Linked DNA regions of Drosophila melanogaster. The protein of the gene in region 1 purifies or fractionates together with the protein of each later gene. This does not show direct contact. Each region holds a gene or a part of one and is shown in the gene's direction. Other genes may lie near its edges.

Region 1 (5,030 bases):
TTGTCTTCGACAAAGACCGATGGTGTGGGCAGGATAATGTCCTGGATGTACTGCACCCGGAACGTCTGGTGAATCTTAGCCAGCAGGTCCAGGTTTTTAATCGGCACTGCCTCGCGGAACTTGGCTAACTGCTTCAGATACTGTCGATGCTTTTTGGGCTGAGACACACTCGGATCGTACTCCAGGCACCCGACCACATCAAAGATGGTATCATCCGCAAACATAATCTCAAAGAGCGCGTTCTTATTTAGCAAGAAGATGTTCTTGAAGATCTCAAAAAGGTGATGCAGGCCCTCGGTATTGTCCAGGTCCTCACACACGTGGAACAAGTTCAGCAGCTTCTTGATATAGCTCTCCGACTCCAGAGCCATCGACAACTTTTCCTTTCGCAGCGGCGTGGAGAGACAGCTTTGTATCGTTTCCGAGATGTCCTCCAGCCGGGAAAGCTCGCAGGGTGGTAGCTCAATGGGTGGCGCAGTATCCGACATGTCCTCAAACCGCTCATCCTCAGACTCTTCGACGATGTCTTGAGTTATTTCTACAGATGGATCCTTGCCTTGCACCTGCAAAAGTTTTAGTTGGCAATTGATGTGAAAACCATATAGAAATTGTTTAAGTTCATTGATATATAGATAAGCACATTTATAACTGCATATGCTTATTCAACGACGCTTACCTGACATATCTTTTCCCATATTTCGTCGCAGCCCGCCTTTTCCTGGAAACTCAGGGCCAGATCAAAGTTATCCCCCTCGGACCACACGATCAGCGTATCCTGTTGCTTCTGGTATGCGGTGTCCGGTTGTATCTTGCTCTCCAAAAGTAGAGATCCATCGGATTCGGCTCGCACCAAAAGCGAGATGCCTGTAAGTTGTTAGTGAGCAATAGGAAACTTAAATCACTTCGCAAGGCTTCATTAATTTCGTAAACCCACCTTTTAGTCTTTCCACATAGGTGGATGACACGTGGCCAGTGCCACGATCATCCCATTGCCGTTCCGCATTCAGCGCGTACAGCTTGACGCGTCGGCGGGTGTCAGTCGTCATGATGATGTTCCTCCTTGCTGTGCTTCTGCGGTTCTACACGCTGTTGGTGCCCTTGGGATTCGTTTGAATTTCGATCGGGACTATGAACGCGAGTGCTTGCGGCTTGGAACCGTTCCTCTGGCTAGGGACTATTGGCTAGGCTATGCTACTTAGCTAATTTAAATTAGGATCTTGAATTTAAAATTCAAAGGATTCGGCTAATCTTTATGCTTGACTTCTATATCCATGTTATTCTTGCACTCCAACGCCGGGTGGGGTCTGATGGGATTGGGATGGGCGCACGACGAGACTGCACTGCAAGTTAGGAAAATAAAACAATTAAAAAAAAAAACGTTCAAAGATCATACAATATTAAAAAACACTACTTTTTCGAAATCCTTTTTTTATGGTTTTATAATCCCTTTTTTAATGACAGTAAACGCATATGTTGTTTGTTATCTAAAAAATTGTATTTTAACTATATGCATGCATAAAGGTACTTAAATATTTTCAACATCATAATTGCCTTTAATTTAAAGTCTGGTTCAAACTATTCACTAGTACAGTAGTTCAATACCATTTATAATTTTTTATTATTTTGTTGTTTTGTGTATCAACACAGCACAGAAATTCCTTTCCAAGACTTATAAAATTGTTCGCCCAACAACGTCATACAAAAAATTGGATTATTCGTGTGCTATTGTCGCAAAAAGGTGAGGTTAAGGTATCCAAGTGCATCCTATATCTTATCTTGGGGCCTTTGCAACACTTCATGGCGAAGATTGCGATGAATGAAAATGTGAAAGCTACGTTCGGTGTGCGTGTGTGTGAGTGTATTTTCGGAAGAAAGATGTGTGAAGAGAGAGAAGCCGTGAGAAGACCATGCCAACTAAAATGCGAAATGCAAAAAATAATTAAGAAAAGAAAAGAAATGTGCCCGGTCTGTTTACAAACATTTAGCGTTTTCCATTAGATCTAGGCCTTCCGCAGTGCGCGCGTGTATCTGTAAATGTATCCGTATCTGTGCGATGGGGTTTTCGGTATGAGTAGGTTTACTATACATATAGTATACACTATATCTGAGCCACTATTATCGCTGCGCTTTCGCCCCACGGCGAGAGCAAACACGCGCGCGAAGAAAACAAACAGCGGCGAGGGCCAGAGAGCGGGTGACTCAAAACGAGGAAGGGGAGTAATCTAACCATTCTCGTACACAGAAAAAAAGTGTAAATAAACACATATCATACCCATATTTTCATTTATACACAGTTAACAATCAGTCCACTATTTCGTTATCTGCACGGCGAAAATCAATGGAGAAGTGTGTGAAATAATGTGCGAGTAAACAGAAGTGGCAAAAGCTACGTCATCGTTGAAGAGCGCCACCTCAATGTTGACTGTCCACCACAAATATTTACGTCACTCTAGATCACCCAACCGCTCACCACCCACCGCCCGCAGTGCCACTCGCCCAAGGTTGCAAGACGTCGGGGAAAATGCGTGCTGCGCTGTTTCGAAGCGATTTGCACAGCGATTAAGTTCCCACTTCCATGGTAATTCCAATAAAGCGCCATAGGCCACTGATAACGCCCGCAGGAGAATTGAAGCCCAGGCGGAGAGCCTGAGTATCTCAATCTCAATCTCAATCTGTAACTGAATCGGATTCCAAGTCTGAATCGGTACCAAAACAAAAGTAGCAATTCAAAACAAACGTAGCGAGCGGTTTCGTTTACGCAATCAGCTGCGAAAAACACGAGAATGCTCATGTGTACATAAGTGTGTCCAAGTGCCGCACAGCGCCACAGATTTCGTTTATTATTAATTTTTATTAATAACCAGCGGCCGCAGAAGGTTGCGAAAAGTGCCGAGAGAAAATCTGTGTGCGAAATATAGAGCTCTGGAGTCGAGTCATCAATAAAGTCCGGCAAATATGACAACTTGGCAGTATTTTTTCGCCCCAGCAACAATTAGTTTTTATAGGGAAGTTAGTAAGAGATACAGTTGTGAACAAGTCGGTGGCCTTTTTGACTCTATTTCGCTACTACCTAGTTAATAACACGTGTGCAAATCGTATTATGAATCACTAGACCTCTTTTATTCAAGGCATTTTCGTTTGGTTTGTAGATTACAGTCTTAGTATGTTGTAATTAAATTCGTAGTAGAATTAAGTTTAGGTTATAGTAGACAAAAATACAAACTAAGATAGGAATTATGCCTATCAACAAGTTTACATCTGATTAGGGAACTTAAGGTACTTGGGTACAGTATTAAAACTATGAATAAAATTTAGGAAGGTAGCAGGAAATTAATAAATATTGTTAAGACTTTAAATACCACCGGTAATTGTGTGAATACAAATAATACAACTATGCTCCATCATTTCAACCGCAACTGTAAATGGATAATTGGAGTCTCGCTGCTCTCTTCCTGTTCTTCGCACACATACACACGCATGGGCGCGAACGCTGCAAGTGTCCGTGTGAAGAAGGAGAAGGCGAAGAGGTGGGAATCCAAAAGCTAAGGATGCAGGACTTCATTAGGAAGTGGTTCGCATATCCCTTTCGTTATCTTCTTACTTTCGCCCCCAGCAATGAAACGCCATGAATTGGGGGAGACGGAATCTAACGATTGCGAACGCGTCGTATCTTGTTTTTTGCATGCATGACAATGTGTGCAGAATACGCGCGCGCTCACACACTAAACCACTCGCACAACCGAAGGCGTGTGTGCATGTATGCAATTTTTTGGGGTGGTATTGGCGGTGAAGGCAGGAGGGATGAAGGGAAAGAGACGGGCGGAGAACTCGAAAATTTAGCAAGTAAACACTCTCCGATTGCGATTACAAAGTCAGCTAATTTCCTTTCATTTTTTATTATAAATTTTTGATTCCGTTTTTTTGTTGATGCCCAACAGTTGATGTATTTTCATACGCGATACACACACAACGCGCTACAGACACTTGGACGCACACAGACACAACGTCTGGCAAGTACATCGCTTTTTGGGCCGTCTCTTTTGCGGTTCATTCAATAAAATTATTGCGAATGGCAGGCGCAAAACAGAATCGCAAAAATTGCAGTGTATTGTGGGAAAGAAGAAGAGGCGTGTGGTAAAGAAAAATGCCGTCTCTCCACCACACACATTACACATGCACGCAATTTTGATCGCTACACGCGCCACCCACACTCTGCAATGTTTTTGTTGTTGTTGCAAGCCGATTTTGTTTTGATTCGATACTTTATTTATGTATACATAATATTTAGGAGCAGCGCATTTCCGCGATATTCGCTGGCGATTTTGCATTTCATTGAAACGCACACAAAACGCAGGGAAAAGAAAAACAGACGACGGCTAACTCACCTCGAACACACGCACACCTACAAACCACACACAGCGGAGAGCGAGGAAATTCAACACGACGGTATGCGTTGTTGCATAAAGTGCGATAAAAGGGGAGACACTGAAAGAAGCAAATCAGCCGAGTTGTATTCAAAATCGGGATCCAATATGGGCTATTGCCGGGATATATAGTCCGATTCCCTGGCAAGGCCGCAAATCATCCACGGAGTACGTGAGAACACACCGTCGGTCACATTCACAGTAAAATTCAAACACACACACACTAGCACGCAGACAACACAGAAGCCGCAAGAGGGCAAAAGAGAGCGGGAGAGAGAGAGCAGCAAAGAGAGAGAAAGAGCGCGGGGGCAAAAACCAAAAAGTTATACACTCACGCTGCAATTCCTTGTTTCTGTTTCTGGCGTTTTTCGCTTTTAGTGCTTAGCACGCTGGCTGCATTCGATCAGTTTATATACAATTTTCTCTTGCGCATATTTATTGGGGGATCACGAGTTAGTTTTCGACCAATATATCTTCCCGGATAATTGTAATTTTCGCTATTTTCCGCGGACCGACGCTAGAGCGTTGGTCTGACCACGACGATAATATCTGCGTATCGATACTCGGCCAGAGAGTACAGCGATAGTTGCATATGACGAGAATGTG
Region 2 (8,478 bases), on another chromosome or scaffold:
AGCTTTCTGAACCCAATCTGCCGCTCAAGTGCATTGTGTTGAAGAAAGTTACCAGGTTTTTCACCGTTATCGGTGCACTTCTCTTAATAGTCGCTGGATTTCTCATCGTGTACGTCGCGGTAGTAATATACCGAGTTAAGCAGAAGGAAGCCCTGTTGGCGGTCGATCAGTTCCAAAAGGACATAATAAACGAGCTAATTTACTTGAGCTCCCAGTCCGAGAGTCCCGAGGTAGTTATTAACCAGCTGCAGGAGAAGTTTCTGCCGGCCAAGAAGCGCTCAAAGCTCTTGTCTTCTTGGAACAAGGCCCTCAAGCAGCTGGAGAAAAACGATAGCCGTGTGCTGTTCGGAATGGTGAATCGTGACGGGAAGGCAATGCGCACAATTGCGTGGAACAGGAACGTTGACAAAAAGGATGTGGGGCTTGTTAAGAAGTGGCAGAGTCCCGCCTTCGATAACTCGAACAAGATTGCCAACCCGCCGACTCCCTGCCTGAAGATTAGGCACATGTTCGACTCCTCAGAGGTGGATCAGGCCAATCTGAAGCAGTCCATCGTGGAGTCGATCATCGAGAAGGTCGGCACGCGCTGCAAGATCTGCGATGTCCAGCTGGACGTGCAGTCCTGCTGCGTGTACATCCGCTGCGCCAGCGAGGAGGACGCCGGCACGATTCACAAAGAGATCAACGGCTGGTGGTTCGACAAGCGCCTGATTTCGATTAAATTCTTAAGACTGGAACGCTACCTGAGCCGTTTCCCCAAGCCCTCGGCCGAGCCACTTTACTTTCACACCAACGAGGCAGCCAACACTCACTCATAAAACACACAACTCTACATTAGATACTTAAGTTATTAAATGCGAATTTGTTTTACATGTACAGCTGGAGTTGTCGTATTTAATCGATTTATTATGAACTAGACTTTAAAACTTAAAATCTGCTAAACACTACCACTACTTAGCTAGGGAGTTGGACGACAGAGCGCTTTCCCCAGTTTCCAAGTGTTTGATAAGCCGGTACAGGGTAGCAGCCTCCTTGATTTTGCTGAAACCCACGCAGAAGGCTTCGATTTCAATGAATAGTTCCTGGAAAATAACAATAGAATAGTCACTAAGCACAGTCGAGGAAATGGTAGTAGCGCATACCCTAACGTTCACAATCTTGTTCCTAATCAAGGACTGCAGAAATACGCAAACGAGTCGCACCAGGCGAGACTGCATGTACTTGTCCTTGACTGTTTCGCAAGTCGAGATGCAATTGCTGATGTATAGGTGAATAAACTCAGTGGGCAAAGGTCCGGAGGTGGTTAGTCTGGAATGAGAGCTCGAGCATGTTAAAGAAGCCTTCAATACTCGATGTTTGGATTCCTACCGGTTGACCACCTCCATGGAGTGAAGTGTTATGTCCATGTTGACCAACACGTTGAAGTATTCAGTTATGTCGGAGGTCGTCATCAGTCTTAGCAAGATCTCAATGGAGATGAGAGGATTGCTTTCCACGAGCAGAGGTAGCTGAGATGGAAGCAATGGATAAGACATATATCTAGCAATGTTTTCGGTTCTTACCTTGTCCGGGGTCAGTCCATATTGGCGCGCAATGTCCGTGTTCTGCTTCAGCAGGTCGTCGAAGAGGATGTGCTGGTTCTGGAGGCTGAGTGGCTGGAGAAAAGCCTGCTCGATGAGGTGCTTTATGTTGGGGGTAATGTAGTTGGACTTGTCGTAGATGATCTCCACCTTGTCGCTGTTCGACTGGTTTATCCAGAGCAGCTCGTCCTCGAAGTCCATTAGGGGCGGGGCGATGGACAGAAACATGCTGGTGCGCTGATTTTAATTTACAATTATTATTATTTTCCTTGCAATTTTGTAAACAATTTTAGTGTGACCGCGTTGAGGGGTTCTTAAGAACAATCTGCACATGAGAGTGGGCCATCTGAAAAATGATGTATGCAAATGTGCGCCTAAGGGTGTTAGGTTACACACTTGTCAAAAAATAAAAATTAAAATATGAAAACAGTTCAATATTTATATTAAAGCCTGTTTCAAAGCTTCCATCGTTCCGAATCAGAGCAGTTGCACAGACTTCTGCATGCGTTAGCCATTGAGCCCTAGCGCCTGCACTCTGGTCACACTGCAACTGTTGCACGGCTGCAAATCGCAAAGCAAAATAAAATGCACCGCGCTTGAATTATCCATTTTATGGACAGAAAAAACCTTCACACACGAACAGAGAAAAATGGATCGCGGGAAAGGAAGCGGCTCCAACCGATCGCAGAAGAAGGTTCCGCTGGGCGGAGAACTCTTTGCGCTCGGCAAGAGCGTACGCGATGACTCCAAGTCGAAGATCCTGCCCATTAAGGGCATGTCGTCGTCGGACCGCAAGCGTGAAGCCTCCACCGCACTGGCCAGCTCGAGCAAGCGGTTCCGCGGCAACCTGAAGGACGCGGGCGCCCCGGACATGTCCTCCGGTAGTAGTCAGTGCGAGACGTGGGAGCAATTCGCCGTTGACTGCGATCTGGATACCGTGGTCGAGACCATATACGCGGCTTTGGAGCAGAACGACAGCGAAACTGTGGGCCGGCTTGTATGCGGCGTTATAAAGCAGACAACGACGAGCTCCTCGCGCTCCAAGGTGGACAACATTGCCCTTCTGGCCCTGATCTACGTGGCCAAGGTACAGCCGAGTATATTCTGCACAGACATAGTGGCCTGCGCGCTGCTTTCCTTCCTGCGGCGGGAGGCCAACGTGAAAATGAGGTACAACACCAACCTGCACATTCTGTTCGCCAATCTGCTGACCCGGGGCTTCATGGAGATTTCCCAGTGGCCGGAGGTGCTGCTCCGCATTTACATAGACGATGCGGTTAACGAGCGCTACTGGGCGGACAATGAACTGTGTGCCCCGCTCGTGAAGAACATATGCGCAGCCTTTAAAACCCGCACGCCCCACATCAGTCTCCTCCGCTGGGATGTGAGCTCGTCCCTGCCTTCTGGTCAAGCACACAGAGACAGCATGACTGTGGACGACGATTCCGGGGACAATTCCACACAGAGCTTGGATGCAAGTCCCTTAAATACCGAATCGGAACCAATTCCCGACGCTATGTGCACCACTAAATCAAGATTCAGCGATGCTGTGGTGCAGAAGCATGTCAGCGATGCCATTCGCGATCAGCTCAACAAGCGACAGCAGCAGGATAACTACACCAGAAACTTCCTAAAGTTCCTGTGCACCACTTCTGGCATTGCAGAGGTACGATGTCTGAGCATTTCCCGCCTGGAGCTGTGGATCCACAACGGAAAACTGGTCAAGTTCGCCCAGCAATTGCTCTCGTACATCTGCTTCAACATCAAGGGACGCAACACACAGGACAACGAAGTGCTCTTGGTGCTGGTGAAGATGCGGCTCAAGACGAAGCCCCTAATAAACCACTACATGTCCTGCTTGAAGGAGATGATTTTTCTGCAGCCGGAAATCTTGAGTACCGTAATGAAACTGGTCGTGCAAAATGAGCTATCCAACACCAGGAATCCAAACAATATGGGGATGCTGGGTAAGAGAAACAAATTTTTTCTTAAATTAAAATCATAATTCTTAATTTGAAACTTTTCCAGCCACAATGTTTCAAACATCTGCTGATCAATCAGCTGCCACTCTGGCTGAGATTTACCAGGAATTCTTGCTTCAGCGGGACGATTGCCTGCGCACCCTGCGCGTTTTCTTACGGGAGCTTGTGCGGATGCTGCGCTTCGATGTGAACCTGGTCAAGTTTTGCAAGACGTTTCTCAGTGAGCGGGAGGATCTGACTCCTCAAATCGAAATGTTCGAGTTTAAGGAGCGAATTTTCAACTCCATGGTGGACATTGTGTGTCTCTGCATGTTTCTGTCGGCCACGCCACAAGCTAGGGAAGCCAGTTTGTCCCTGAAAACCAATCGGGACACCAAAAACAACCATGCTCTGCTCAAGCTGTACAATCAGATGTCACAGATTCAGTTGGACACAGTGTCCTGGATGTACGAAACAGTACCCACGCTCTTCAAGATTCCGGCTGCGGAGTACCACCAGGCGCTGCACAAGCTGCTACTGCTGGACAGTCCGGAGCAGTATTCGCGCTGCGATCAGTGGCCGTCAGAGCCGGAGCGAGGAGCAATCCTGCGGATTATCTCTGAGACGCCGATTCACGAGGAGACCCTGCTGCGAATTATATTGATTGGCATCACCAAGGATATTCCTTTCTCTATCGCAAACACCTTTGATGTCCTGCTGCTGGTCATAAAGCGAGTTTCCGGGATGAAGGCTACCAATATTCCGGCGGTGCAGGCCAACAAATTCGACATCATCGACTTCCTGTTCAGCATGTCAGAGTACCATCATCCGGAGAACATTCGCTTGCCTGCGGAGTACGAGCCACCAAAGCTGGCCATCATCGCCTTCTACTGGAAGGCGTGGCTCATATTGCTTATGATATCCGCACACAACCCCTCCTCGTTTGGAGCCTTCTGCTGGGACCACTATCCCACAATGAAGATGATGATGGAGATTTGTATAACGAATCAATTCAACAATTCATCAGCCACCAAGGATGAGTTGCAGGTGCGTGCTTAATTATATAAACAAACTGGCGGTGCTACAATAAAGATTTTTCAGATAATAACCATGGAACGGGATCACATTCTGCAGTTCGAGACGTACTTGGCTGCCCAAACATCGCCGCATGCTGTTATCACTGAGGAAACTGCGATTCTAATCACTCAGCTCATGCTGATGGACCCGATGGGCACTCCGCGCAAAGTGCCCTCCATGGTCCTAGATCAGCTAAAGTTCCTTAATCAGACCTACAAGCTTGGCCACTTATTCTGCCGCTGCCGCAAGCCGGACTTGCTGCTGGACATAATTCAAAGGCAGGGCACCACGCAATCCATGCCCTGGCTTTCCGACTTGGTTCAGAACAGCGAGGGCGATTTCAGCCATCTCCCAGTGCAATGCCTGTGCGAGTTTCTGCTGTTCAACGCGCACATCATCAACGAGGAGAATAGCCGCGATGCCGAGTTAGTCAATTTCCTGAGAAACCTGATATTTGACGGCAATCTTAGCCACCAAATCGTTTGCGAGCTTTTGGACTACATATTTAGACGCTTGTCGTCCACGGTGAAGCAATCGCGAGTCGCCGCTCTTTCGGGTCTGAAGATAATCTTCAGGCACTCTGGCGACTTTGAAAACGAATGGCTCCTGAAGTCGCTCCAGCAAATTCCGCACTTCTACGAGGTGAAACCCTTCATAATTCCCCAGCTGCGAGCTGCCTGCCAGGTGGAGAATTGCCCGGAACTGATTATGGCGTACATTCAGTTCATCACTGCGCACACGCTCAACGATCCGGTCAACGAAATGCTGGATCATGTCATCGATATGGCGCAGCTGATTGTAGAGCGCAGCACAATGTTTCAGCACATTATCATTTCGCAGGAGGACTACGACTATGTGCCCGACGAGAACCGCATTCAGACTCTGAAGTGTCTTTTCGTCATGTTCAACAACTATATAATTAAGCTAAGGGAATACCACGAACCGTACGAGTGGACCGAGTATCCGGACCTGCTGATGGTTCAGTTTGACGATGGAGTACAGCTACCGCTCCACATAAACATCATTCACGCCTTCATTATCCTGCTCACCTATTCCAACAGCAACATGCCCGAATCGATACCCATTTTGGACTATTGGTTTCCGCCCGGACGACCAGCGCCCGTCGCCTTTCTGCCCAGCATGCCGCAGGAGCAGGTGCAACTGCTGCCCGACTGGCTGAAGCTGAAGATGATCCGCTCATCGGTGGACAGACTAATTGAGGCAGCTCTCAACGATCTAACGCCGGATCAGATCGTGCTCTTTGTGCAAAACTTTGGCACGCCGGTCAACTCGATGTCCAAGCTGCTGGCAATGCTGGACACCGCTGTACTGGAGCAGTTTGATCTGGTGAAGAATGCCATTCTGAACAAGGCCTATCTGGCCCAGCTAATCGAGATTCAGCAGGCGCGGGGTGCTAAGAATGGGCACTACACCGTACAGGCCTTGGATCTGCATTCCCACTCGCAGACTGTGCCAGATCTGCCCAAGATCAGTGTGGTTATTCAGGAGGCCGTTGAAATTGATGATTACGATTCTTCAGACTCGGATGATAGACCCACTAACTTCCTGGCCACCAAGGAGGTAGCCCAAACCATTCTCACGCAGCCCGACCAGTTGACTGAGTCGCGAAGTGACTGCCGATCCTTGATTCAAAAACTGTTGGACATGCTAGCAAGCCCGAACAGCAATAGAGCGGATGTGGTTAACGCCATAACAGAGGTGCTAGCCGTGGGTTGCAGTGTCACGATGAGCCGTCACGCCTGCACATTTTTAAGGACTTTCTTCAGCTGCATGCTGCACAGCGACAAGTATCACATACTGGAGAACGCTCTCCAAAAGAACTTAAGTATGTTTAAGCACACATTCGCCGACTCCAGTCTGCTGCAGAAATCCGAACTCTATCATGAGAGCTTGGTGTTCATGCTGAGAAACTCTCGCGAGATTTATGCGCAGCAGTTTAAGGCGAATACCGCCTTGGTGGCACGAAAACGGATCGTCCGGGCGATCGTCCAAAGCTTCGATCAGACCAAGGACAGCAAGACCGTCGCCAAGTCCAAGAGCGACCAGCTCTTCCACAACGGGCTCTTCATCGACTGGCTGTCCGAAATGGATCCCGAGATAGTTTCCACTCAGCTAATGAAGGAGCGCTTTCTGTTCTCAAAGTCCTGCAGCGAGTTTAGGTTCTATCTGTTGTCCCTGATCAACCACCAAACCAACTGGGACACGATCGAAAGGATTGCCGAGTACCTGTTCAAGAATTTCCATGAAGACTACGACTACGCCACCGTCCTCAACTACTTCGAGGCACTGACCACCAATCCGAAGCTGTGGAAGGGACGCGACAAGTACATGTCGAAGAACGTACGGCCGGATGCCTTCTTCATGCTGAGGACTTCTGAACTGGAGCCGTTCTCCCACTTCATCCTTCACGAAGGGCTTTCCGAGGTCAAGCTGGACAGCAAAAACTATGATTTCAAGCTCTGCTCGCGAATGAACCTACTGTTTAAGCTCACAGAGAAGCGACGAGACCTCATGGTCAAGGTAATGGAGCACGTGGAGAAAAGTTCGGTGTCCGACTACTTGAAACTGCAGGTCCTCCAGCAGATGTACATCATGTATCCGCGCATCAAGTTTCTGAAACCGGGCAAAACCGGCGAGCAGGCGTACAAATTGCAGAATCTGAAGGGCTGCCAGGCGGACAAGGTGTCCAACAATCTGATCACCTGCTTGGGCAGTCTGGTGGGCAAAAAGGACTTTGAAACCCTGTCCACGGACACCGAGCTGCTCCTTCGCAAGCTGGCTGCCTCCCACCCGCTTCTCTTCCTTCGCCAGCTGGGCGTGCTGTCGTCCATTATGCAAGGTCGGGCCCAGCTCAGCATGAAGGCCCTGCGCGAGGAGCACCACTTCCACCGATTTGTACAGATCCTGAGGACGCTGGAGCTGCTGCAACCAACCATCTTTGAGGAGGCGTACAAGAACGAGATCCAAAACACGCTGTCGTGCTACTTCAACTTCTTCAAGCACCACAGCAACGTAAAAGAGGCCTGCCAAATGCTGAACAAGTTTGTGCAGATGCTCCAAGCCTACATCAACTACAATCCCTCAAGTGCTCTGCTCTTCATCGAACAGTACGTGGGCATCCTGAAGGAACTTGCAGCCAAGTACACCTCACTAGGCAAACTGCAGGTTTTGGTCCAGGCCGTTGCCCTGCTGCAGCACAAGTCGCACTCGGCGACGGAATTGGACGACGAGGAAGTTAAGTACGAGTACGATCTGGATGAGCATTTCGATGTAAAGCCATCGGCCAGCAAGCCCGTGGTAACAGAGGATCCCATCGAAGTGAATCCGCAAACACCCATCGATCCAAGCAGCAGTAGGGGTCCCTTATCGGTTCTAACCTTGGGCTCGTACAGCCGGTCGAACTACACGGACATATCGCCGCACTTCCTCGATCTGGTCAAGATCATAAAGCAGTCCAACACGGAGGACGTGGTCTTGGGTCCCATGCAGGAGCTGGAGTGCCTCACTTCCAAGAGATTTGTGTTCATCAACGAGCTGTTCGAACGACTGCTCAACCTTATATTCTCGCCGAGTGCCCAGATCCGGTCCATCGCCTTCATCATACTGATCAGGCATCTGAAGCACAATCCCGGCAATTCGGACATCAACCTGTGCACCCTTAACGCCTACATTCAGTGCCTGCGGGACGAGAACTCCTCGGTGGCAGCGACGGCCATTGACAATCTGCCGGAGATGTCGGTGCTGCTGCAGGAACACGCAATCGACATCCTAACGGTGGCCTTCTCGCTGGGCTTGAAGTCGTGCCTGAACACTGGCCACCAGATTAGAAAGGTTCTCCA
Region 3 (3,236 bases), about 13 Mb from region 1:
TACATGCAGCTGGTAGTTGGGCTTGTCGGCAGTGCCATTGTCGCATTTTGCGCCGCTTTTGTACTTCAGAAACATATTTCCATTGTTGTAGAACAACTCGTGCTGACGACCTGAACAGTAAAGGTATCTTAGCGTGTGAGATACAGATAATGTGATCGTTAACTTACCCAAAATATACTCCTTTCCCTGTCTTTTGAGACAAGCTGCCACATTACTTTCCCCATTGCAGGTTCTTGAAAGATTTCCGCATATATTGAACTCGAATTGGTCGCCTCCAATGTTCATGCTCTTCACCACATGGGCCAAATCCGAGTGGAGACCACTGAAGTCGAAGGTGCTGCCGTAAATGGGCTCCTTGAGTTTACATTCCGTGGTGGAAAATTTCTAAAGAAAAAGTAAACATATTACAGTTACATATTTTCCTATTTCAAAGAAAACAAGACATTTTTTATGACTATTATCGCTTCATTATTCAGCCTATTGATTTCTTAGCCATTCGAAATGTCGGCCAACAAAGACTGGAAGTGATAAGCGAGCGAAAAACATGCAATTGGGGGGCCTTAAACGGGGTCTCGACCAAAAGGCAACAAGTGCGCAGTGAAAACAAACAAACACCCCCAAAATAAACGACCCACGCCCACTAACCGCCCACTTACCAGCTGATTGGCTGCGTCAGCGGCGACACTCTCACCGCTGCAGAAAAGCAGCAAAAGCAGGGAAATCACAATTGGGAAACGCATCTGCTGGAATGTCAGTAAATGCAATGAATAGTTTTTAGTTCAGTTTAAATGTATTCAGCATGTATCATCTTACCTGACGAAAATTTTCCTGCGTGGGAGCTGCGCAGTCCTTTTGCAAACTGCAACGCATTTTGTCACCTGCAGGCTCTGAAATATTGGCACTAAATGAGTCAAAGCGCTGGAAAGCGTTTGCAGTTTGTTTCTTTTACTGTTTTATTGGTAATTCCACCTAAGATTAGCGCTCTTTTTTCGCACACAAAGTAATTTAATTTCCCTTATCACAAGCTAACTGTTTGTTTTGCGAGAGAGCCAAGTTGTTATTGCTTTTCCAATTGGCTCTCTGCTTCGATTTTTCAACGGCCGTTCGCAGCAATTCTTCTTCTTTGCGCAGCAGAACAAATAAGGAAATGCCGGCGACGCAGTTGCACGATAGGCATAACAACGAACACAAATAGTGGCGAAATAACTATTTTTAGCTTGAATATACCTTTTTCGGATGCGGCTAAATTACCTGGCCAAAAAACAACACCCGCTCTTACCAATGTTACTTTACGTTTACAAGCGAGTGGCAGCGCTCAGAAGAAGTCGAGCTGCGTAGCAGTGTGGTAGCACTGGTCAAACAGCTGTTGGGCTTTTGAATATACATTATGTTTGAGAATCCAATACAACCAACGTGTGTAGTGTTACTTACATACTAACATTGTTGTTAACAAGGCTATATTCAGATTACATGAAATGATCCATAACTTTATTTTCATCGTATTATGGCTAATAACTTAAAATTTAATTTTCCCGCCTAAAACCTATGCACGTTGCCAAGTGAATGGCTGAAACCAAACAAACAGCTGTTGCGCGGGCATAAACTTGCATTTATATTGTTATTTACTATATCTACCCGGTATTAAGATGGCCGCAAATATAGCCGCCGCTGCTGCAGCTGCCCAAGAAGTGGATCCCGTGCTGAAGAAGGCCATCAAGTTGCTGCACTCGAGTAATCCCACCTCGGCGGCCGAACTGCGTCTGCTTTTGGACGAGGCTTTGAAGGCGCGTTTTGGTCCGGAGAAAAGTTTGACCAACAACATGACGCCACGGATGCTGGAGGATGAAGCGAACTTTTCCGGACGTGCTGCCACGCCCCCGCAGCAGCCCATCAATGCGGACGAGATCATCAATTTGACCAACTCACCGGACAAGGAGCCCTCCGATTCGGTGGACACGATTGCGGATTCGGATGACGGTCTAAGCGCCGTGGGAATAGTTAACACCGGTGACACCGGCGACTTTGGCGACCTCAATTGCTGCGTGTGCGGCGAGATGGTTTTCACGGCCACCAATCGGCTGATTGAGTGCTCCAAGTGCGGTGCCATGTACCATCAGGAGTGCCACAAGCCGCCCATAACCAAGGAGGAGGCGGCCGATGACCAGGAGCAGAACTGGCAGTGCGACACGTGCTGCAACAAGCCAACGAGCAGCGGGAGGACAACATCCTCTGCAGCGGCCGTAACGCCAACTGTCTTCATAGCCGACGAACCCATGCCGTTGACCAGCAAAGCCAAATCGTCGGTCGCGTCGTCGCGCTCATCGAACTCTTCCAACTCCTCGTCACCCTTCTACCGGCCCGAGCCCAGCAGTTCCACGAATGCCAGCAGCAGTAGCAGCAGCAAGCATGGCCACAAGTCCTCCTCTTCGTCGTCGTCCAAATCGCACAAGGAAGAACGATCCTCTAAGTCCACGGCGGCGTCTTCTCTTAGCGCCATCGGCGGAATGGAGAAGCACAACAGCAGTGGCACCTCATCGCGACGCAGCGGCTCCAGCACCAAATCCAGCTCCAAGAGCAGTTCCTCCAAGCATCACGAAAGCGGCAGCAGCAGCAAGCGCAGATCCAAGCAGTAATTTAGCATCTCTAATAATTAAGTATAAAGTTACAATCCGCATAAAATTCTGAACGTTCATTCATAATAATAATTCAATAATTCATTTTCAATAAATGATTTTTAAAGATATGTACGTGCTATCGAATTCAGTAAATGTAGGTAAAAGTAAGAAAATATTTCAAGTTTTTATTAATGAGGTTACAAATGTAAAAATACAGAAAACAAAGGCTCCTATCCCTGGTATTTCCGCACAGTGACGGCTGGTGTCCGCGGACTACGGCCGGGCGTGGAGGAGTCGCCATGGCCGTTTACCTTGCGCAGGTTAACTCGGGTCACAGGTGAGGCCTCCTCCTTCGAACTGGACGCCAACGCGCTGCGGGATGAGGGTGTACGTGAATCAACCGCCGTCGCCTTATCCTGGTCCGCTTTCTTTTTGCGTTTGACATTCACAATTACGTTGGCATCCATGCTAACGTCGAGCTCGAAGTTAAACTCATAGGTCTTCTTGGAACGCGGCTGTGGAGTGAGGTCATCGTTGATCACGGTTTTGCCACCGGGACGTCCACGCAGCGAAATAGACGGGCTGAAATTGATCTTGGCATTGGGAGTACGGAGCCGCGCT
Region 4 (5,453 bases), on another chromosome or scaffold:
AAATAAGCTTGTGGTGTGAAAAATGCTTACCGGTTCGCATAGTTCGATATCAGTTGCTGCCGATCGGGTCCGGTGCCGATGATCTTGACATAAACCTGCGACTGGTCGACGATGTGCGGATTCTCCAGATGCTGGGCCACCGGAATGGCAAGCTCGGCGATTAGCGGCTTGAGGGGAGCTAGTGTGCCGCTGGTCAGGATTACGCTGCGCACTTGGGTGTTGAGCAGTTGCTCCATTCCGAAGCCAGGATTGAAGCACCAGAAGTTAATGATTTTTGCGACCTTGCTTAAGCCAGTCGCTGCTGCAATCGTTCCCTTGCCAAGCCAACCGCCCTGCTGTTTAGCACCCTGCTGCTTACCGTGTCCCTGCTTGGACTCCTCCACCAGGACATGCACTTTGAAGCTTGCGTACACCTTGCTCATCACATCCTCCTTGTTGGCAAACACAATGGTCAGTAGATCGCTAAGCAACGTGAAGGTGCCGCCCTTGCGGATGCTCATCTGCTGGGAGGCCACTAGGAGGTATTGCACCAGTTTGTCCAGCAGGGATACTATCGTTGCAACGTTGCCGTAGGTGAACTACAATAAAGGAAGTTACATTTTTAAATAGGCATTCTTTTAAAAACATTTCCGATAAGATTTAGTGCATCTTACATTCGCCTTGCCAAGCAGTTCGTACATCATGGAGGCGGGAAAGGTAGTTCCATCGACGGCGTTGTCCACAACGATGGCATCGATGGCCTTTTCGAGCTCGAGCAGCATCTCCTTGAGCAGTGTAAGGTCGTCCAGTGTGAAGTCCTTTGGCTCATCTCCAGCCATATCCTGCGACTCGCCGCTCGCAAAGACTTGCATGATATGCGTGACGTCCTCGATGGCCATGGCCACATCAGAGGACTTAATCTGCACCGAAGCGGACTCCTCGCAGATCTTCTCGATGTTGTGGGCCTCATCCAGGATCACAATAGTGTTGCCCAGTTCGATTTTGTTGGCCTTGCGAGCCTTGGGATCGAGTAGATAATTGTAGGGCATGAAGGTGATATCCGCCTGGGGAACCAACTCCCGAGACGCGAAGTAGGGACAGATCTTGAGTCGCTGGCCCACCTTGACCAGGTCCTCAATGTCCATGATGGTGGGTCCGCGCAAATCGGGATGATCCTTTCGCGACTCAACGCGCATTTGAAATGAACAGGTCTTGGAGTGCACCCGTAGCTTGCACATGTTGGTCTTGTTGGAGTTGCCCTGCTCCCGCATGACCTCCGGATGAATGCATAGCTGATCGCGGGAGCCCAGAACCACGGATCTCATGTTAGCGTACGCTGTCCTCTTGAGTTCCCGCATCGCCTGCGTCAATTGGGAGTGGGTGCGCGAGGCGTAGATGACCTTGGGCACGCCCCAGTTATTCGCACGACCCATGGTCTTGGCCAGCTCGGACAGGTCTCCCCCAGGTGCTCCGCCTCCAAGACCCGAAAAATCTGCCTTCTCCATCTTAACCATCTGCTTTTGGTGCTCCGATTGCCTGGTGCGGATCCAGGCCAAGGATGAGCACAGCAAGCTTAGGGTCTTGCCCGTGCCGGTTGGCGATTCCAGGACTCCATTCGTGCCATCGCGGAGACAATGGATCACCTTCTCCATGTACGCCCGTTGAACCGGGTACGGCTCGAACGGAAAGTGCACCGGAATGCCGGCGATCAGGCTCTCCGGCATTATTCTTAATAATACTATTTATTTACTTGTTTACGCGCCAAATCGGAGTGAACATGTGTTCGTTGGTCGATAACAATAAATGTCTGTGTAGGTGGTCAGTTATCGCTATCGATAGAGTACAGTGGACCCTGATTAAGTAATTTTATAGCGTTATCTTGAACTCCGAGTCAAATGTTTACAACTTGCATGTCAAACCCTGCGTAGTTTATTTTAAACGTAATAGTAGTACTAATCACCACCCAAAGTGCTGCAATCGTGTTTATGGTACCTTATGGATAATAGTAACTGAAACTTATAAACTTATTAGCATTGGAGGGAATACTGTAGTTGTGATTCTGTTTATTTGGATCAAAGATTAACGATATAACATTTTAAGTGAATGTTATGGATTATACCAAACTAATGAACTAATGGCATTCAAGATTAAATGTGCAGCATACATATAAATCCCCTAACAAGGTAAGTAAATATTTGACATCAATTATTACAAACTCAGTTAATTCAACCACAAATCCATTTATCGTGACCCCTTCGCTCGGCTTTTCCGAATCGCCGCGATACGGCCCCACTGATTTGGCGCTTCTCGGCCACACCAAAAAAACACAGAACGGCATCAAATCATTCGAACTTTGAGAACGGTAGTGTTGTGTTGTTATTGCTCGGCAGCAAAGTAAAATCCGAAGAGAAGCGAGTCGAACAAGAGAAGAAGAAGCGCAGGAGTGGACGACAGCAATGCAACAACAGTGACGAGGCGCCAGTGTGCAAAAGTATGTGTGCGAGTGCGTGTAAGCAACAACTCCCCGATACAAACCTACGAGCGAGAGGGGGACGGCGATAGCGACGGTCGTTCGGTCGGTCGGTCCGACCGCTAGTCGCGTCTGTCGGTCGTTCTCGCCTATGCACCTCGGCGGCAGAGCGAAAGAGAGCGCACTCTGGCTGTGTGTGTGCGTGTGTGTTCTCGCTCTCTCGCGCGGTGGTGATAAATTTCTGTTGGCACAAAGTAAAAATATAACAGAATAAAAAATCGTGGCGCGGCATATAGAAGCTAATCGAAAATTATTGCGAGTATTGGGTGGAGGAGAAACATTCCTCTTCTTGTGAGTGCGTTTTTGTTTTAGTTATTCTTTTTTTTTTTTTTTTTGGCCGGAAACTCTCACTCGAAGATGCTGCCGGTGTAGTTGTGTATGAATGTTGTACCATTTTTTTTTTTTTTGAGATAGAAAATTTAGATCTAAAATATTAACCATGCGATCCTTAGAATCGCACTTTTAAAATATGTCCACACATTTTCAAATTCGAAAGCTTTGGCGGGCTGTCGATGGGCGGGCGCTTGCAACTCTGGCGATAACGATTACCGTGCCGATAACGCGGCTGCACTAATCAGCATTATCACATGCAAATTAAGGTCATCCAAATGAAAAATGACCACCAATCAAAGGCCCTGCACCCCTTTGCCGCCCCCCATTTATGCGAAACAACTAGAAAAAGTGTGTTTATTTCTTCACCGTTTTTCGAGCTCTGACAACCCTGCCGCTGCTGCATAAGTGAATTCCGACAAAGAGCCGTGTCATTTTGTTGGCCAAAACATCGCTGCGCCGAGATTAATTAGACGGAAAAAACTCGATTACTTGAAGTGCTCGGCCCTATATCGTTTTGGTTTAAACGTGTGTGTGAGCTTTGTGGATTGCCATCAAACACAATAGGCCGACTCGTCCCCCGCAGCCACCCGTACCATTCCAACACGTCGGAGCAGGGTTGCCAGATCAACGATAAATCACACACCGCTCGTTTAATACGAATTTTGTGTTGTTTTTACTTAAGACAAAATTTGTGAAACTTAATAGATATATTTTAATTTCCGCTCAACGTTATACCTGTCCGAAGTGGGGGTATCTGGCAACTACACCGAGCCGCGTGTGTGCGAATGTGTGTGTGCATGTCCATGTGCGCGAGTGTGCGTATGTGTTTGCGCTCTTATTCAAATAGAAATTGAATGTTTTGCACTCGAATTCAAGACAATTACGGCTCCTCCGGTAAAAACACATTTAGACTGGCTGACCTAATTTAAGGTGTAAGGATGTGGGTTACGCCTGCGATCGCCGAGTGATCGTTATCGTTATCCCGGCTTTGGTTAATCGCATTCCTCCTTCTCCTCCCCCTGGCATCGGCATCCACCACATCCCAACCCCCTTTCTCATTTTTCTCCTCCATCGCCCCTTCTTCGGCAGGCCATCTCCCTCGCTCTCCATCAGAGATGCGTAGGTCGTGCTCCCTCGCACACACACTCACGATCGTGAGCTTGGTCATTGTGTAATCGATTTACGGTTACCTTTTACCTCAACTCGAGATGGTGGGAGCAGTAATCTACTTTGTTAATAGGGGCAGCGAATATCACGCAATATAACAAAGTGTAAGGATATCGAAACTAAACACTAATTTGTGTAATGGTACACTTCAGATAGAAAATAGAGAACCATTTAAAGATCAATCTCTTTGGCACCTGCGTTATAATGACTACTTGTTACCTAGTTTAAAACTTCTACATATGAATCTAACTCATTTATTATTTTGAATATACGACAAGTACGACAATTATAAATATTATTGCTTAGTACTAGACTTCGTATTGTTTTTGGCAAAGCCAAAGCTATTCACACGCGTGTCGCCCACCTGGCTCACGTTGCCATCTCTAGGCGACGCCAGCAGAGCGTTGTAGTGGTGGCAGTGGCGTCGAGTGAATGACTCCGTAGTGGGGCATCAATAGAAAGAGAAGAAGGAACGAGTTAGATGGAGCGAGGAGGAGATGCAGAGGAGGCATAATGGCCAGTGAGTGAAGCGGAGTGGATTTGGATTTGTGTCAAAGCGATTTTCCCCAACATAAATATTTAGCTCTCTAGGACCAACGGCCGACCCCCTGGGAATTAAATTCCATTTTGTTGTTTAATTAGCACTTGCGTTATGCGACAGAGTGTGCGGTGTGTAGATAGTTTGTGAGTGATATCGTTGATTACGCAGTTGTTTCATTATCTGTATGGATTTATATTGCCGCTTCTTAATCGATTGGCCACAGTGCGTATGCGCAACCTATTGATATTTTACAACCAGTTGCGTACCTGTTTCATTATCATTTCGTTCTGTTCTGTTCTGTTTCGTTCGTTACCATTCGCAGTTCGCTGTTGTTGTTGTTTCTCCAGTCCAAATGTCAGCTGTTGCACGCAACATGTACCATAGAAGCGGAACAGCGAAACGCAGAAAAAGAGCAAATCGATCAAGCCCAGGACAAGAACAACAAGTGCAAGAGAATCGGCAGCAAAAACAACAAGCAGATAAAGAGAGCTGCTAACAACGTAAACAAAACCTAAACACCTATACACACGCAAAGGGAGATAGCAACAAATACAAAAACAACAACCACAAATAGCAAGAATATAGCAGAAAGCGAGAGAGAAGGAGAGGGAGAAAGTGCACCTGAGAGGGGAAATAAAAGATCAACGATAAAAGATAAGAGATAAAGTAAGTAAAGCTTGACTTTTTGGTTTGTTGGTCAATCGAAATTGAACCTGTACCGATAACGTTTACCAAATTTCATAACACCAAAACATTGATTTAATTGTCAAAACCAAAACGTTAAACGTTGTGAGTTTTCCAAGTAGACGAGTACTTTGAGCTCACACTTTTTGCAGAGTTTTTTTTTTTTTTTTCAAAAAGCGTACCACCAAATTGTTTGGCTCGAAACTCAAATTATTATAC

The links.
Region 2: the proteins of omd (region 1) and IntS1 purify together in Drosophila melanogaster (affinity purification with western blotting; 2 studies listed by BioGRID, with this or other methods). This does not show direct contact.
Region 3: the proteins of omd (region 1) and IntS12 purify together in Drosophila melanogaster (affinity purification with western blotting; one study listed by BioGRID). This does not show direct contact.
Region 4: the proteins of omd (region 1) and IntS6 purify together in Drosophila melanogaster (affinity purification with western blotting; one study listed by BioGRID). This does not show direct contact.

The regions. Positions count from the first base shown.
Region 1 is NT_033777.3:13,683,880-13,688,909, reverse strand, and holds the start of omd (oocyte maintenance defects), read left to right. Parts: upstream 1-1,699; 5' UTR 1,700-1,738; intron 1,739-4,385; exon of another isoform or gene 4,386-4,485; intron 4,486-4,759; exon of another isoform or gene 4,760-4,989; intron 4,990-5,030. Other genes in the region: flfl (falafel), read right to left, coding at 1-563, 677-864, 935-1,046. UniProt on the Drosophila melanogaster protein: Component of the integrator complex, a multiprotein complex that terminates RNA polymerase II (Pol II) transcription in the promoter-proximal region of genes.
Region 2 is NT_033778.4:24,035,833-24,044,310, forward strand, and holds the start of IntS1 (integrator 1), read left to right. Parts: upstream 1-2,110; 5' UTR 2,111-2,229; coding exon 2,230-3,547; intron 3,548-3,608; coding exon 3,609-4,588; intron 4,589-4,642; coding exon 4,643-8,478. Other genes in the region: MAN1, read left to right, coding at 1-818; Not11 (CCR4-NOT transcription complex subunit 11), read right to left, coding at 951-1,308, 1,369-1,508, 1,563-1,808. UniProt on the Drosophila melanogaster protein: Component of the integrator complex, a multiprotein complex that terminates RNA polymerase II (Pol II) transcription in the promoter-proximal region of genes.
Region 3 is NT_033777.3:26,861,824-26,865,059, forward strand, and holds IntS12 (integrator 12), read left to right. Parts: upstream 1-1,552; 5' UTR 1,553-1,646; coding exon 1,647-2,633; 3' UTR 2,634-2,736; downstream 2,737-3,236. Other genes in the region: Lerp (lysosomal enzyme receptor protein), read right to left, coding at 1-110, 168-384, 657-743, 814-870; ball (ballchen), read right to left, coding at 2,846-3,236. UniProt on the Drosophila melanogaster protein: Component of the integrator complex, a multiprotein complex that terminates RNA polymerase II (Pol II) transcription in the promoter-proximal region of genes.
Region 4 is NC_004354.4:5,744,119-5,749,571, reverse strand, and holds the start of IntS6 (integrator 6), read left to right. Parts: upstream 1-2,317; 5' UTR 2,318-2,800; intron 2,801-3,196; exon of another isoform or gene 3,197-3,369; intron 3,370-4,872; exon of another isoform or gene 4,873-5,216; intron 5,217-5,453. Other genes in the region: Rtel1 (regulator of telomere elongation helicase 1), read right to left, coding at 31-578, 654-1,703. UniProt on the Drosophila melanogaster protein: Component of the integrator complex, a multiprotein complex that terminates RNA polymerase II (Pol II) transcription in the promoter-proximal region of genes.